Linked DNA regions of Styela clava. The protein of the gene in region 2 interacts with the protein of the main gene of each other region in a pairwise test. Links are inferred from orthologs where the notes say so. Each region holds a gene or a part of one and is shown on either strand. Other genes may lie near its edges. The genes, in order: protein lin-7 homolog C-like and alpha-adducin-like.

Region 1 (6,254 bases), on a different chromosome or scaffold from region 2:
AAATAAAGTGTCTAAATGGGTAAACCATACCTTCCTTCCTTGGTAATCAATGAAGTATGATTTCTCAATATGAATAGGATTATTTAAAACTGTTTCCCCCATTGACAATTGATACTAAATGAACCAATGCAGTTGTTACTTACCGGTAGGTACTTATACTTAAGTAACAAAGGCATTGGTGCATTTATTAAAAGTTGACTTTACCCCTATTAGTTGATCAATAGTTTTACTCAGCAAATTCTGAATTTCAGTGGGTATGAATTCTTTGGTACGATCTAACTAAACGCTATTCAAGAAAATAATAACTAGCTTCAGAGCATTAGAAATTCATCACAATTTCTTTCAATCATACCATATTGATGTGGTCCAAGCAGTCCAAATCGTACCAATGTAGATTATATCAAATCAAATCAAAAATTTTCAAACATATTCAGTCTAACAAAGTTTGAAGAAAAATTCAAATTCAATGTAATATTTTGGATTTCAATATTTTGATATATTTTATAAGTTTCTGAGCAAAATTGAGCATATATCAATAAATAGAAAAATTTATTTTGAATACACAAGTTTTCGAATATTCTATATGCGAGAAGCAACACTATTTGGAATAACCATAATCTTTCAATTTCTGCATTTTGAGTTGTAAAATACAGCTAAATAGACCATACCCTCATCAACAATATCATAACAAATAATCAAATAGAAAATCAAGTCAACAAAATCAAGAAAACATCAATAAAAACATTAGCAGCTTAAAATATGTTGGACAACTAACTGAATGGAATTAGCCAGAGTTTGAGGTATGCTGTTGCCTTCTGGATAGACGAAGTCGCTCGAATCGTTGCTCCATCTCTTCTAGAACATGAGGAGTATATCGAACAACTAATTTAACATTTCCGATGGCAGCTTTGAGAAGGTCAACCGCTTTCTCATGGCATTCGTCTTCAACGGACTCTCCATTGACTGATAAAAGTTGATCGCCACGTTTTAAGCCACCATGGCGATCTGCTACCCCATTGGGTATAATACGAGAAATATAAATTGGAGAGTTCTGTTCTTTACCTCCCATGACATTAAATCCAAGTCCTTCCTCTGTTTTAGGTAATTCTACAACTCTCGGGTGGGCATGTCCTTCGCTGGCTGCAAAAGCAGCAACTGTGGCCTTAGCAGTGGCATTTGCAGCTATTTCAGGATTCCCGGTAATGTCCACAGTTTCATAAACATGCTCATAGACTTCACGAACAGCGTGTAAAAAGTCACTTTGCAAAACGGCTTTCAACGCTAGGATTTTATCCGATGGAACCTGCCCTCGACTTTGTAAATTATCGATCAATTCAATCGCCCTTGTAATGTCTTGCTCGAGTGTCAAAGGTTCTGACATTTTAATAGAGTTATTTTAAAACTAGATAATAATAAATAAAGAATTACAAACAACGTCGCGGAATTAGACGAACGATAAACACCTCTCCTGAAAGTCAGGAAGCGACTGCCGTACCAGACGAGAAACAAGTCGTTGCGTCACCAGTCAGATGTCATCGAGTTCTCTTGCTGACGATTTTTTAGTGATGATAGATTTTCACTAAAACAGAAATGAGAGAGAGAAAATGATTTATTTTCCCAATGTATCAAAAAAATGTAAAATTTCAATAACTGTAAAAATAAATAAATCATAGAATATATTCGGGAGGGGGCCGCAAGACTGCAAGGTCAACTACGTCGACCGACCCATAAAAAAAAGAAAAATTTCTATTAAGACAAGACATTCAGATATCATGAGGAAAAAAAAGGCCGCTATAGATTTTTACCTTAATTAATTACAACAAATATTTGATGGATTACACATAACAGTTCCAAAGATATCGTAATATAAGAAGGGGGATTATTTAACAAGTTAGCTAACACAATACAAATGATTTCTTAAATATTTCATTTTTAATTGACACATAATAAATACACAATTTGCATAATTATTAGATATGTTGAAAGTAAAATTTATCGAAATGCCTAAAAACTTACTAATTTTAAAAAATATACCCATGGATAAACGCTAATTTTGTGGCAACAGTCATGTTTTGTTGTACTCCAACTCATCACTGCCATCTCGCGATCCTCATTATACGAGTTGCTGGTATTTTGATCTATTCATGAAATTACCGTTACACAATATACAGAAATAAGCGAGACTTCTGAAGAGACAAAAAGAGGGTGGTATTTCTATTTATACCGTAAAATTTCAAAACTATTATTCCTAAATTTTCTGAATGAATATGTTTTATTTGAATCGTCCGGTCGGACGAACAAAAATGTGAGCTAATCCCGACGACAGAAAATGATAACTGAATCGGATAACTCAATGCTCCTCAGCAAAAAAATTATCGACGGCGAATCTTCACGAAAACGAGTGTGAAAAAGAGAGAGAAAAAGGGATTTATTAGCCAATCAAAATACAGTCATCATTTCAACTAGAATAAAGTAGCCTAACCAACACTTTATATATATATATATCCCTATATAAACTGTAGGGAGCGGCGATAGGAACCTTCGCCCATTAAAGTCAACCCCAACCACAATCGCTCCTGCGACAATCGCTCCTTACTCATTTGATGAATTATCATAGAATTTACTATTATAACTAGGGCTGGGAATTTCAGGGAAAACACTTTAAAGTTAACCGATTAAAATTAACCGGTTAACCGCCGCGTGACGTTTGACGTAATAATTATAATTTCAGCTTGTTACGTCACATTGGTTATAACGCAATTTCGCGTGTTTTTATCCCGGTATCGCTCAAAATTATTTACGAATTGAGATAGTTTCATGATTCCTCTGCTGCAATAGATAGGCAGCGTGGTTCGGGCATGTGGAAATATTTAAGAAAACCCGATTCCGTTGTTAAACGTCATTTATGTGACAAATTTTCAGTGTTTGATGTGCAAATTCTATTTCGAGATATATTTCATAAAGAAAAGCGTGATCAAGTGCGCACTTGTTGTATGACATTGAATATCCGATTTTGCAATGAAATCGTGAACAATATATTTCGAAATCGACCAAAAACTGATTCTGAATTTATCATTGTAAATTTTCATTATCAGCAATCTTGGTACTTCCATTATTTTTTACATTCATTGAGTCCTTACCCACACAGTTAGTAATATTTTTTTAAATTAAACGCCGCAAGAGATAAATTTGAGATGACGTAATCATATTTAACGAAATTGTACGGTATAAAGATGATTTGTACCCGAGATGTCAGTTAACGGTTAAAATAAATCATAACCGTTAACCATCTGAAATCGGTTAACCGGTTAACCATTCCCAGCTCTAATTATAACATTACCTTTTAAAAAATATATTTATTGATTTTGGTTATCGAGTAAAGTTGAAGGAGTTTTGGAACTACTCAAGTTGAATTTTGGGCATATGTTTACAAGAGTTCTAATAATTTCAATTTACGTGAATTAAAACATCATAAAATAAATGTTTACCAGTTACAACATTTAATATGTATAAAGAAGATTTAAAAGCATTCACAACTGGAGAGTGGATTACCCAATACAAAGCATAAGATTGCTAAATAACCAAAACGAAGTTACAAACGAAAAATAATTTGCTAAACACGGAAGTAAATAGTTGGCTAATAAGGGAAATTATGGATGATACATTAGTATGATTACGAATAAAATCGATTGAGGAATGTCGCAAATACATTTTTCACGTGATTAATTGCCTTTACAGTATAAGAATTTGATTTTTCAGACGCAAATGTTTTTTTTATGATTTGGCCATTCCTTTCTACATTATGAACAGCCGGCTTCAACCTTTATAAATAACTTTAATCTAACCACGAAGTTTAATGTAATCGGATACAGGAAACTTTCAAATATATCCTTCAGGCTATTGCAAGATGTAGCTTCGTACTGAGATTGAGATATGTTGATTGCCGAGTGAAAGTCAACTCTAGGTCGTGAAATTTAAAATCTTAAGTCGGTTGGCCCAGTACTTACGAAGAAAAGCGACATTTCACGACAACAATACCCCAACAAGAACAGCAATTCAGCAAAATTCAGGTTTATTTCGTTTGTAGAAATAGAGTAACGTACAGTGATTTCGGCAAAGACATGAGGATTAGGTCTGTCATATTTACTATGGTGCACAATGTCCAGAGGTAAAGTTGACTGTATAAAATAGACGAGCATTATAGAGCATTAATTGGCTATATCGACTATATTCTAAAATAATGAAAGACTTATATTAAAAATAAGTACCTATACTATAGGATATGAGTAAATAAAAACTACCAATTTTCCATATCTTCGTACAGGAATTACAGTTTGTATTCAACCAAGGAAATAACATATATCATTTCCCATAAGGCAAATTTTAAGGTACCACTCTGTATTAGTGCGGCCAAAATAGTCGAAAGTCCACCATGGTTACCTGTGAATGATTACTAATTGTAATCATTGTAATGCGACACGGTCTTTTGTCGAATACCCGTCTAATTCGGCAGCCTATCACAAAAGCTAACCTATTGGTACTCTCAAACAAATGGGAAAGGAGGGCGGAGAATGGTGATAAGAATAATATATACCATGATCGTATATGATAGAAGAAGACAAGGTACTCTCGTAGTATGTGAACCACGATGGCGGACACCGGAACGTAGTATGTGTATCAGGTTAGGATTAGGCCGTAATTTCAGCTACAAATACTACGAGGGTGTGGTCACTTGGATAGTTTCCGAACTCGTAATAGAACAAAATTAAAGAAAATTGGAATAAAATTATGGCCTAACCCTAACCTGGTACACATACTATGTTCAGGTATCCGCCATCTTGTTGCACATTCTACGGGAGCGCCGAAGACAGTATACAGTGTTTAATTTCAAAGGAAGACCAGAGTGTTGGGTGTCTTTAGAATGCGAGCCACCGATCATGAAAGTACGAGATCCACTATTTCAGATTGTGTTACCAAAGGTTATTAAATAGTGATCGTCTTAATGCAATCTGTAAGCGTATATTCATAGGTCTCACTGATAGGAGTACTGATGCGTTTGTACGTGCATGATGCTTGGTGTTGCGAGAAAATGTTTTAAAATATCAAAAAATTGTAATGTTTTATTTCTTGGAACCACAATACAGATTCAATAAAAGAGGCTTCATATAATATCGGATGAAATGAAGAAATTTTTTCTGAGATTTATTATTTGTTTCTCCATTCTCTTCATTTCTGTGATATGTCAGGACGATGAAACCGTCATTCATTGTTCTGCTAAACCAGGCTGTTTGATTACTCAGTGCGATCCGACTCCTAAAGGGTTGAATGAAGTTGACATCGAAGGATATATGAACAGAAATGAATTTCCTATAACTTGTAAATCGAAGCTTGGACAGAGTAAAGACTTAGAGGCAGAAATGGCCAAATTTAAACAAGGTGAGTGCATAAGTATACCTGTCAAGTAAAGTTTATATTTTCATTTTCGGTAAAAAAAAATCAATCGGGTCGAGCGGATAACGATTTTGCCGTTGCATAAAATATTTAATCCGTGGCCGATGCGAACATTTAAAATGTCTTGCTATGTTAATTTGATTGTGTTCAACGTAACTCGCCTTTGCGTCGATTTACAGTAAAATAAAAGTCCAACTATAAAATACTTCGACAATCTGTAGAATAAAACACGCGATAAGATGTCCGATTATGAATAGATTGGATTCGAATTTTACTACCTTGGGATTTGAGCTATTCTGACTGCAACTAAAGATTATTTTCAAGATGTCGCCGCTAAAAGAAAAACTCAAGGTGTGTGAAACAATCCCAAAAAGTACAATTCGCAATTACGCAAAGTATTCAATCCACGACCGATACGGGAATTTGAAATATCTTGCTTAATTAATGTGTTCAATGTAACAGGCTGTTGCGTGGACTAAAAATACAAAACATTGCTACTTCAAATGCCGCATTTTTATTTGGAGCGGGTCTCCTAAAACAGAACTTATTGTGTTTTAGTTGTTTTAGTAGTTTACAATGCCGCTTTTCAATCATTTACTACTTTATTAGCTTTAGCATCTCGTCGCCGATGATTATAATATAATGACTGGTTTTTCACAACAAATTCACCATTCCGTGTAAGAACCAAAATAAGACATGCATATGTTGATGGAAATTTGTGATATTGGAAAAATGAATATCGACGCGAAGGTGTTCACGGCCCAAATAGCCCGTGAAGAAAACAATCGGCGATTTTAACAAAA
Region 2 (7,163 bases):
AAGTTTGACATTGCACTGTACCTTGTTGGATTAACAAGAGGATGTGGAACAAGTTACATGAACTATGATGTATTACAAATATTTATTATTTACGACATTGAAAATTAACAATAGTGTTACTATTATTAATATCTTCTGATTGAATCGAGCATGCAATTGAACATAACTGATCGAACTATTTAATTATGTGAATATATAATATATATACTACAGCCAGTTACTATAGCAATGCTGGAGCAAGCAAAACCCAAAATTGCAATAAATTATGACATGACACAATATCATTGTCACCTGTTTTCATATTGAAAACTCCATCACCTGTACAAGTAATAGAAGAAACAAGTGAAAACTTCGAATAGATTGATTTATACCAACAATTACTAGCAGAACAGCTGAGCAAAGAACATAAACTTTAAATATTGTAAATATGTAATGCATAGCAGCACCGGTTCAAACACTGCGTTTAATCATAAAACATATTAGGAATTGGTTTTACAAAGCAAGTTGAACAAAATTTACTCCAATAAAGAAACTGAATAATAAACTTAGTAGTGATGTAACAACTTGCAAAACATCTAAATTCTAAACTGGCATGGAGGAAAGCCTGCTTATTAGCGCCTGTGCAATACCCAACTGTGTTTTAGAAGGGGAGTTTTTATTGCACGACCATTAAAAATAGTGAGCCGAGACTGAGCGGTACAAAAGATTTTGTAAGACAAATTATGTTTTAAGCAGAATAATATTTTGTAGTTTCAATTTAGGATGTTTTAAAAGTATGCTAAAATAACAATTACAAATAGAAAGCAGTCAGTATAGCTGTTAATATTTGTTAGTCTTTTTCTGGGAAATACTATTGTTAATCAATCTTTCCTTTAATAGAGATATCGAAAAATTTCTTGGTTTATATATCAAGGCAGGATTGGATGACATAGCATCAAGAAGCACTAACAGCAATAGCCCTAATGGCTAAAACCATGCATGAACTGATATATAATTAAATAAATTACCCAGACTATATTGAGATCTGCTCATCGGCGACAACATATTTGCAATTTCCTTGGCAATTACGTGACCTCCACCATCACCAGAACGCAATAAGTCAGTCACTACAGTTTCAAGTTCTTCTTTGAACACCTATTGAAGAAAATTATAACACAGTTCAATTATTACGTGAGCTAATATTGACACTCGCTATGAATATTCACTGTTAACATTTACAAAGTCATAATCGTGAGATCATGCGTAAATTAAGCGAAAACCATATATATCTAAAAAACTTAACCCTCAATCTATATTACTTTGATTTCATAGTTGGATCTTGTATAATAATACTTAAAAGAGAAACAAAATGAGAATGGATTGCACATTAAAGACTTGAATGAAAACTCCGATGTTAGCTCTTTAATAAAAAATAAACCCAAACAAACTAAAAAACTTGAATAAAATATAGATTATCACAAGAAACTAAGTTATCTTCACTACAATTTGATACAAAATAAAGGTCACATAGCAACTAAAAATAAGTAAATTTACCGGACTAGTTAATACAGATGAAACTCGTTTCTGCTGTCCTAGCTCATTGACATCTTGATCAATTCCTGTTGGCCTTCTAACAGGATGTATTCCCAGCTCAGCTTCGATATCAACACCTGAATGACTTCCTGGAGACTGAGGATCAAGCATCTTTGAATAGGAATAGAAAACCATTCGTTTATATTTATTCTAGGGGAGACAAAAGCAGTTAAGCTGACTCAATCACATGGCGAACCATGATCCTTCGTCTGGTGGCCATTTTCTTGGATACAGCAGAAATAATTAATTTACTAATTTATTGTTCCAGCTTGGATCGGGGACGAAGCTGGCCATAGAAGCACTACATGCCATTCAATACTATTTGATAATACCAAGGGTTGTAAGATTTCCTCGAATTTATTTCTTGAAAGGTTCGAAACCACTGTTCTAAATTATCACTGAGTCGAGCATTCACTATATTGAGTAGCCTACACTTCATGTGGGTCATCACTGAGTGTTATATTTTGAATTCTTCACATACACATATAGTTCAGTACTTATCAAAACTTTATAAATTGAGTAAACAAACATGACAAGTGCCACCCTTTCAAGATTTGTAAATCATGAAAACAAACATACCGTATTTGCTCGTTTTGTAGCCCGGGCCCGTATTTTTTTCAACCAACTCACTAACCGGGCCCTTATCCAAACCGGCCCTTATTCAAGACGGGCGCTCGTTATTTTCGATCGTTACAATAATTAATACATTGTTATTTCCAGTTCCAGTATGATTCAAACGAGAATAATGAAAATTTTGACTTTTTCTACGCACCGCAGGTACAAATCCGCAAAAGAAGAAAAGTCTTGTGACGCCCTATCAATATTGAAACGACGCACTTGGGCGTCGCGACGCCCAGTTTGAGAACCATGGTGTTACGTAATCAATGCTATCTGTTATGTACTTGGACGCCTAAGGCGTGAGTGTTATCTACAGGTGCTTAAAATTCAACAGCGTTGTGACAAAAGCGCTTCTTATTTCCTATTGTTCTCTACCACTGAAAAATCAGCTTTTACATCTCTACCACTCATTCTCATTCTCTACCACTGAAAAATCAGCTTTTACATTCAAGCACCGGCCCTTATTTATTTTTATGTTCTGTTCACATGGGCGGCTTTTCAAACGGGCCCTAAAAAAACGAGCATATACGGTACTCTGCCACTGAAATATATTAAATTATGGGGTCTAGTGTAGTTTAGTATCACAAGTACTTCTATTGATTTTGTTTACAACTGACAACCCCCCAAAGGCCATTCATTAACAATTCATATTATTACTGTATTAAGAGAAAAGCACTCATGCCTCACTAAAACAAATTTCAAGTTTTATGATCCACTACTCAGATACCATATTTTAACTATAGGTCAGACCAAAGAAAAATCCAATAAATACCTCTCTATGAGATTGCTTGGTTCTTGTAGGACTTTTCATCGCCATTTAATTGATATTTCGAACTGATAATTTTCAGATAACTAGACACATTAAATTTCAAAATGAGTACATTAAATACTACTTGCCACGCATCGTGCACTACAAAAAACTGTTTAAAAAGTTAGCAAGCGAAAATGAATGGGTGCATTATATCAATTAGCGAAAGAGTCTGAATAACCCAACAAAAGTCACACTACATTGCACATTTGATTTGGATGAAACTTATTACATATTACTGTATTGATAAGATGTGCCATCCTCATGCGAGCCACGAAATTGTCTATGTTTCTGGTTATATTTTATTTGAATACATACAGTTCATTTCATTCTTTTCATAATACAGTAATATGATCACATTTAATGACAATTAAGCAGATGGATTTCAAATCAAATTGTTTACTATAGAAAGAAACCAAATGTTCACTTACCAATTTTATCAATTAGAAATTTATCATTCTCAGCATGAATTAATATCGTATCTGTCTACGATTCTTTTTTATGTACCGCATTCAAGGATGAATACGTCATAAAAAATTTAGATTATTTCCCATAGTACAATAGGGCACAGTTTTCCGATTCCAAGATGTCCCAACATTCTGACATTTGGTTCAATGAAACAAACACTCTATTTGTGTCTGAAACTAGGACGCTTGGCACAACATGAGATTGTGCCACGCTGTCTCGAAAATAAATTAAATCTTTTGTGATCTGCGTCGCAGGCACATGACCAAAATTGTGTTTTTGTTTTGTTGTGCAATGCCTGTTTGTATCTAGTGAAGGAAGAGTTTGCACTCACTATTATAATTAATGTATTTTAATGTTGGGGCCATTCTTGGAATCGGAGAACAGTGCCATATTGTAGTATTGTTGCAGTGAATAGTTTCCATACACATTCAGACATTCCGTACTGTAAACAGGTTATCAATGATAGGATAGGATTTACATATTTATCCCGGGGGGGGGGGGGAGAGGAAAGCCAATAAGATGGCTTATCCATATGGCGAACCACGACCTCTCGTCCGGTTACCATTCCAAGTCGGGTATGGGATTAGTTAGATTGTTTGTTTTCGGAATCATGGACTTGGTGGTGGAGGAAGCCGTAACCGACTGTTAGGTATAAAGAGCAAAAGATATTCAGCATTAACAATGTACTTCGTGAATGGGCAGATGGACACATGTATAATAGTTAGAAGTTCAGCGGTTATGTGAACCACCCAACGACGGCGAGGAGTCCAGCAATCCTCTCGCACATAACCATCCCTGCATGGGATGCGAACCCACGCAGATCAATTAGAGGTGTGGTGGCGAGCGTATTCCTAACGCTTAGCCCGTTGAGCCACACTGCCGCGCCAAATGATCTTCCCATTCTATCTGTCTATTGTCAGATTGTACCATAATCAGATACCGTAGTACCGTGAGCTTATTGCTTGACCTATAGCCAAACTTTCTCACAATTTATTCTCATAGTGCTTTCTACATCTGTATCAGACATAACATGAGAAATTATTTTTGAAGGTCAGTCGCAGTCAGGACAATTAATTCTGTAATTAGTCTTCAATTCAATGCAGCCAGCCTGAATGGGTAACAAGTACAACTTAGTTTACGAGCATACCTCTGTACCTGCATGCCTGGGGGTCTAGTATAGTTTGGTACCGGTAGTCTACCACAAGTACCGTACTTCCAGTGGGCATAGCATAACGAATTTTGCATATGCTATTCCTAACCCCCACCTGACTACCGTATGCCATCCAAAAATTACGTCACTACGACGTCATCATCACGTCATAGGGCTTGTCAAAGTATAATTACGATCGCCCGAAATGGCATCTGCGCCGCTGATAACGAACTCGCTTAACGTCGGCGATCTCTCTCCTATCGGGATCGTTGTGACGAAAAAACGAGAGAAATAGCTTGCTCGATTTCGGATGATCGTCTGCGCGTTTTGGACTACCTTCCGCATGCTTTGGTGGGCCTTATTACGCCACTGTGACGTCGAAATGACCTAATTTTTCGGTGACGTAGTCAGGTAGAGGTTAGGATTGACATATGCAAAAATAGTTGAGCCAGGCCAACTAGAAGTGCATGTGGGTACTAAACTATACCGGTACCGTACCAGACCCCATACCGGTACGGTACCACGTACCGGTACGGTACCGGTTATTGTTTTAGAAGCGTTCCTACCTATCCACCTTATTGCAGTGAATTCTATCAATAAGAACATGATAAATTATAATGTCATATAATATATTAAAAATGTCCAAGATTGCCTGAACTGCTGTGACTTGCTTATACTGTCCTATAATTCCAGAATTCAGTACCGGTAACTCGAATCGACGATCCTCGCTTCCGCGCTTGAAATTAGCTTGTATAGCCTACATACTAGAACTTGTTTTTGTCGCATCCTAACTTTGATTGAGGTAGGGTACCGTATGTTCCTTAATCTGTATCGATTTGTCGGTCTTCCGAAAACATCTCTATTTCCGTCAACGTGTAACCGATTGCTATGCATGTATTGCGGTATCAGTAGCACCATGCTAAAACATCCTCCACCATCAAGTCCATGCAGCGATTTCCTTACACCCCCCTCCCCCCGCTATAGGGGGTGAACACACACACACACACACACCCTATTTTTCAAACACCCCAACTAATTTTGAGGTGCGATTCCATTCTGTAATTCCCAACTCGGTTGTATTTAATTAATTATATAGAATATATATGGCATATTTATCAGTGTAGATCAGGGGTTCCCAAACAGTGGGGCAATTACGTCCCGCGTAACGACTTAAAATGCCCGCCTGGTTTGAACATTTGACTGATTTATCTTGGTACTACTTACTTTTGGTGTGTTTACGTATAGTTCACTGCATCGCGATTATTGGCTGATTACTTGATTACTTCTTGTTATGGTTAACTGTCTAGAGCTTTAGTCTGTCTTTAGATCTGTTCTCATAAGCTTGTTAATGGTGCTATAGTCATTGGGTATGAATAATCTATTTCATAAGTTCCTTACATTGGGATAATCTGTTCTGACAAAGCCTCATTTAAATGTAAGTGAATTGGTATATTCTTGCTTTGTATTGTGCCTGGTTGCCTGTACTCATTTTAATATTCATCTTTATTGTTTGTCAGGTCACTTTGTCTTACTGATATCTGGATTAAATCACTTTGGGAGAAATCTATTCGTTTCATTTTGGGATATTAGTTAAAGAGACATAGTAGGCAAGGGTGATTTGTCAATGGGCAGAAATCCAAACTAGTGACATTTAATGATACTGCACCTACACCTACAAACTGGAGTCTGAATCAAGCAGTTCTTCTTCAACCTTTCGAGGATTCAGCAATACATCAAAGCAAGAATGCCAACTAACAATGTCAGAATATTTTCAAGGTCAGAATTTCAAACAACTCAAGAGTAAGTTTCCGGTACTCAAAAGTAAATTTGGAAAGAATTTTAACACGATTTGAGCACTCTCTGGAAAGAAGAGATTTTGAAAAGGTCAAAATACTGTTTCATGATGCTAACGATAAAATAGCATTTTTGGTCTGTCTAATTGATACTATGGAATTGGCTCTAATTGAAGAAGACAGTACTACACAAAGTGAGGAAAAACCCGTTATATCCAAATTTAGTGAAGAAATTTTACGTGTGGAAAACAAGATTGCAATCGATTTTGAGAAATATGAAGACAAACTAGATATAAAGCCGGAGATATCATCTCTTGTAACCACTCAAAACAATTATAATAATGATCCTCCTATGATTAAGTTATGTGGTATGCATCCGCCATGCTGGAACGGACAAAAAGTAGACTTTTATACCTGGAAAGAACGTTTTACACATATAATGCACCATGCAAGAATTACGGATGATTTAGTGCAAATTTCATGACTGTTACGCAATGGTGCAATGCCAAACGATTATCAAACAATGATATGTGACTGTAAATCAATTTCAAGTGTATGGGAACGCCTGGAAGAGCGTATTCCTAAATCAGTAGTTCAACGTGAAGTAATCAAGCAATACGAGCAAATAAAACCTTTATATAAGACCTCTCGTAATCCAGCGAACCTTAGGCGACTAACTCACGAAATTTCTCTCTTCTGCCGACGTATGGAAGATCTTGGGTTAAAACAGGATGCAAACTCGGTTATTTCTGTC

Evidence for each region.
Region 1: the proteins of alpha-adducin-like (region 2) and protein lin-7 homolog C-like interact in a two-hybrid assay, tested with the Caenorhabditis elegans proteins (3 studies listed by BioGRID). The link is inferred for Styela clava from reciprocal best matches to the Caenorhabditis elegans genes add-1 and lin-7.

The regions. Positions count from the first base shown.
Region 1 is NC_135263.1:5,072,327-5,078,580, reverse strand, and holds protein lin-7 homolog C-like, read right to left. Parts: upstream 1,506-6,254; 5' UTR 1,382-1,505; coding exon 785-1,381; 3' UTR 590-784; downstream 1-589. Other genes in the region: uncharacterized protein LOC120340926, read left to right, coding at 5,181-5,436.
Region 2 is NC_135258.1:23,366,815-23,373,977, forward strand, and holds the start of alpha-adducin-like, read right to left. Parts: upstream 3,111-7,163; 5' UTR 3,008-3,110; coding exon 2,963-3,007; intron 1,684-2,962; coding exon 1,534-1,683; intron 1,135-1,533; coding exon 1,008-1,134; intron 319-1,007; coding exon 292-318; intron 1-291. UniProt on the Caenorhabditis elegans protein: Membrane-cytoskeleton-associated protein that promotes the assembly of the spectrin-actin network. Plays a role in time-dependent memmory loss and the retention of conditioned behavior over time.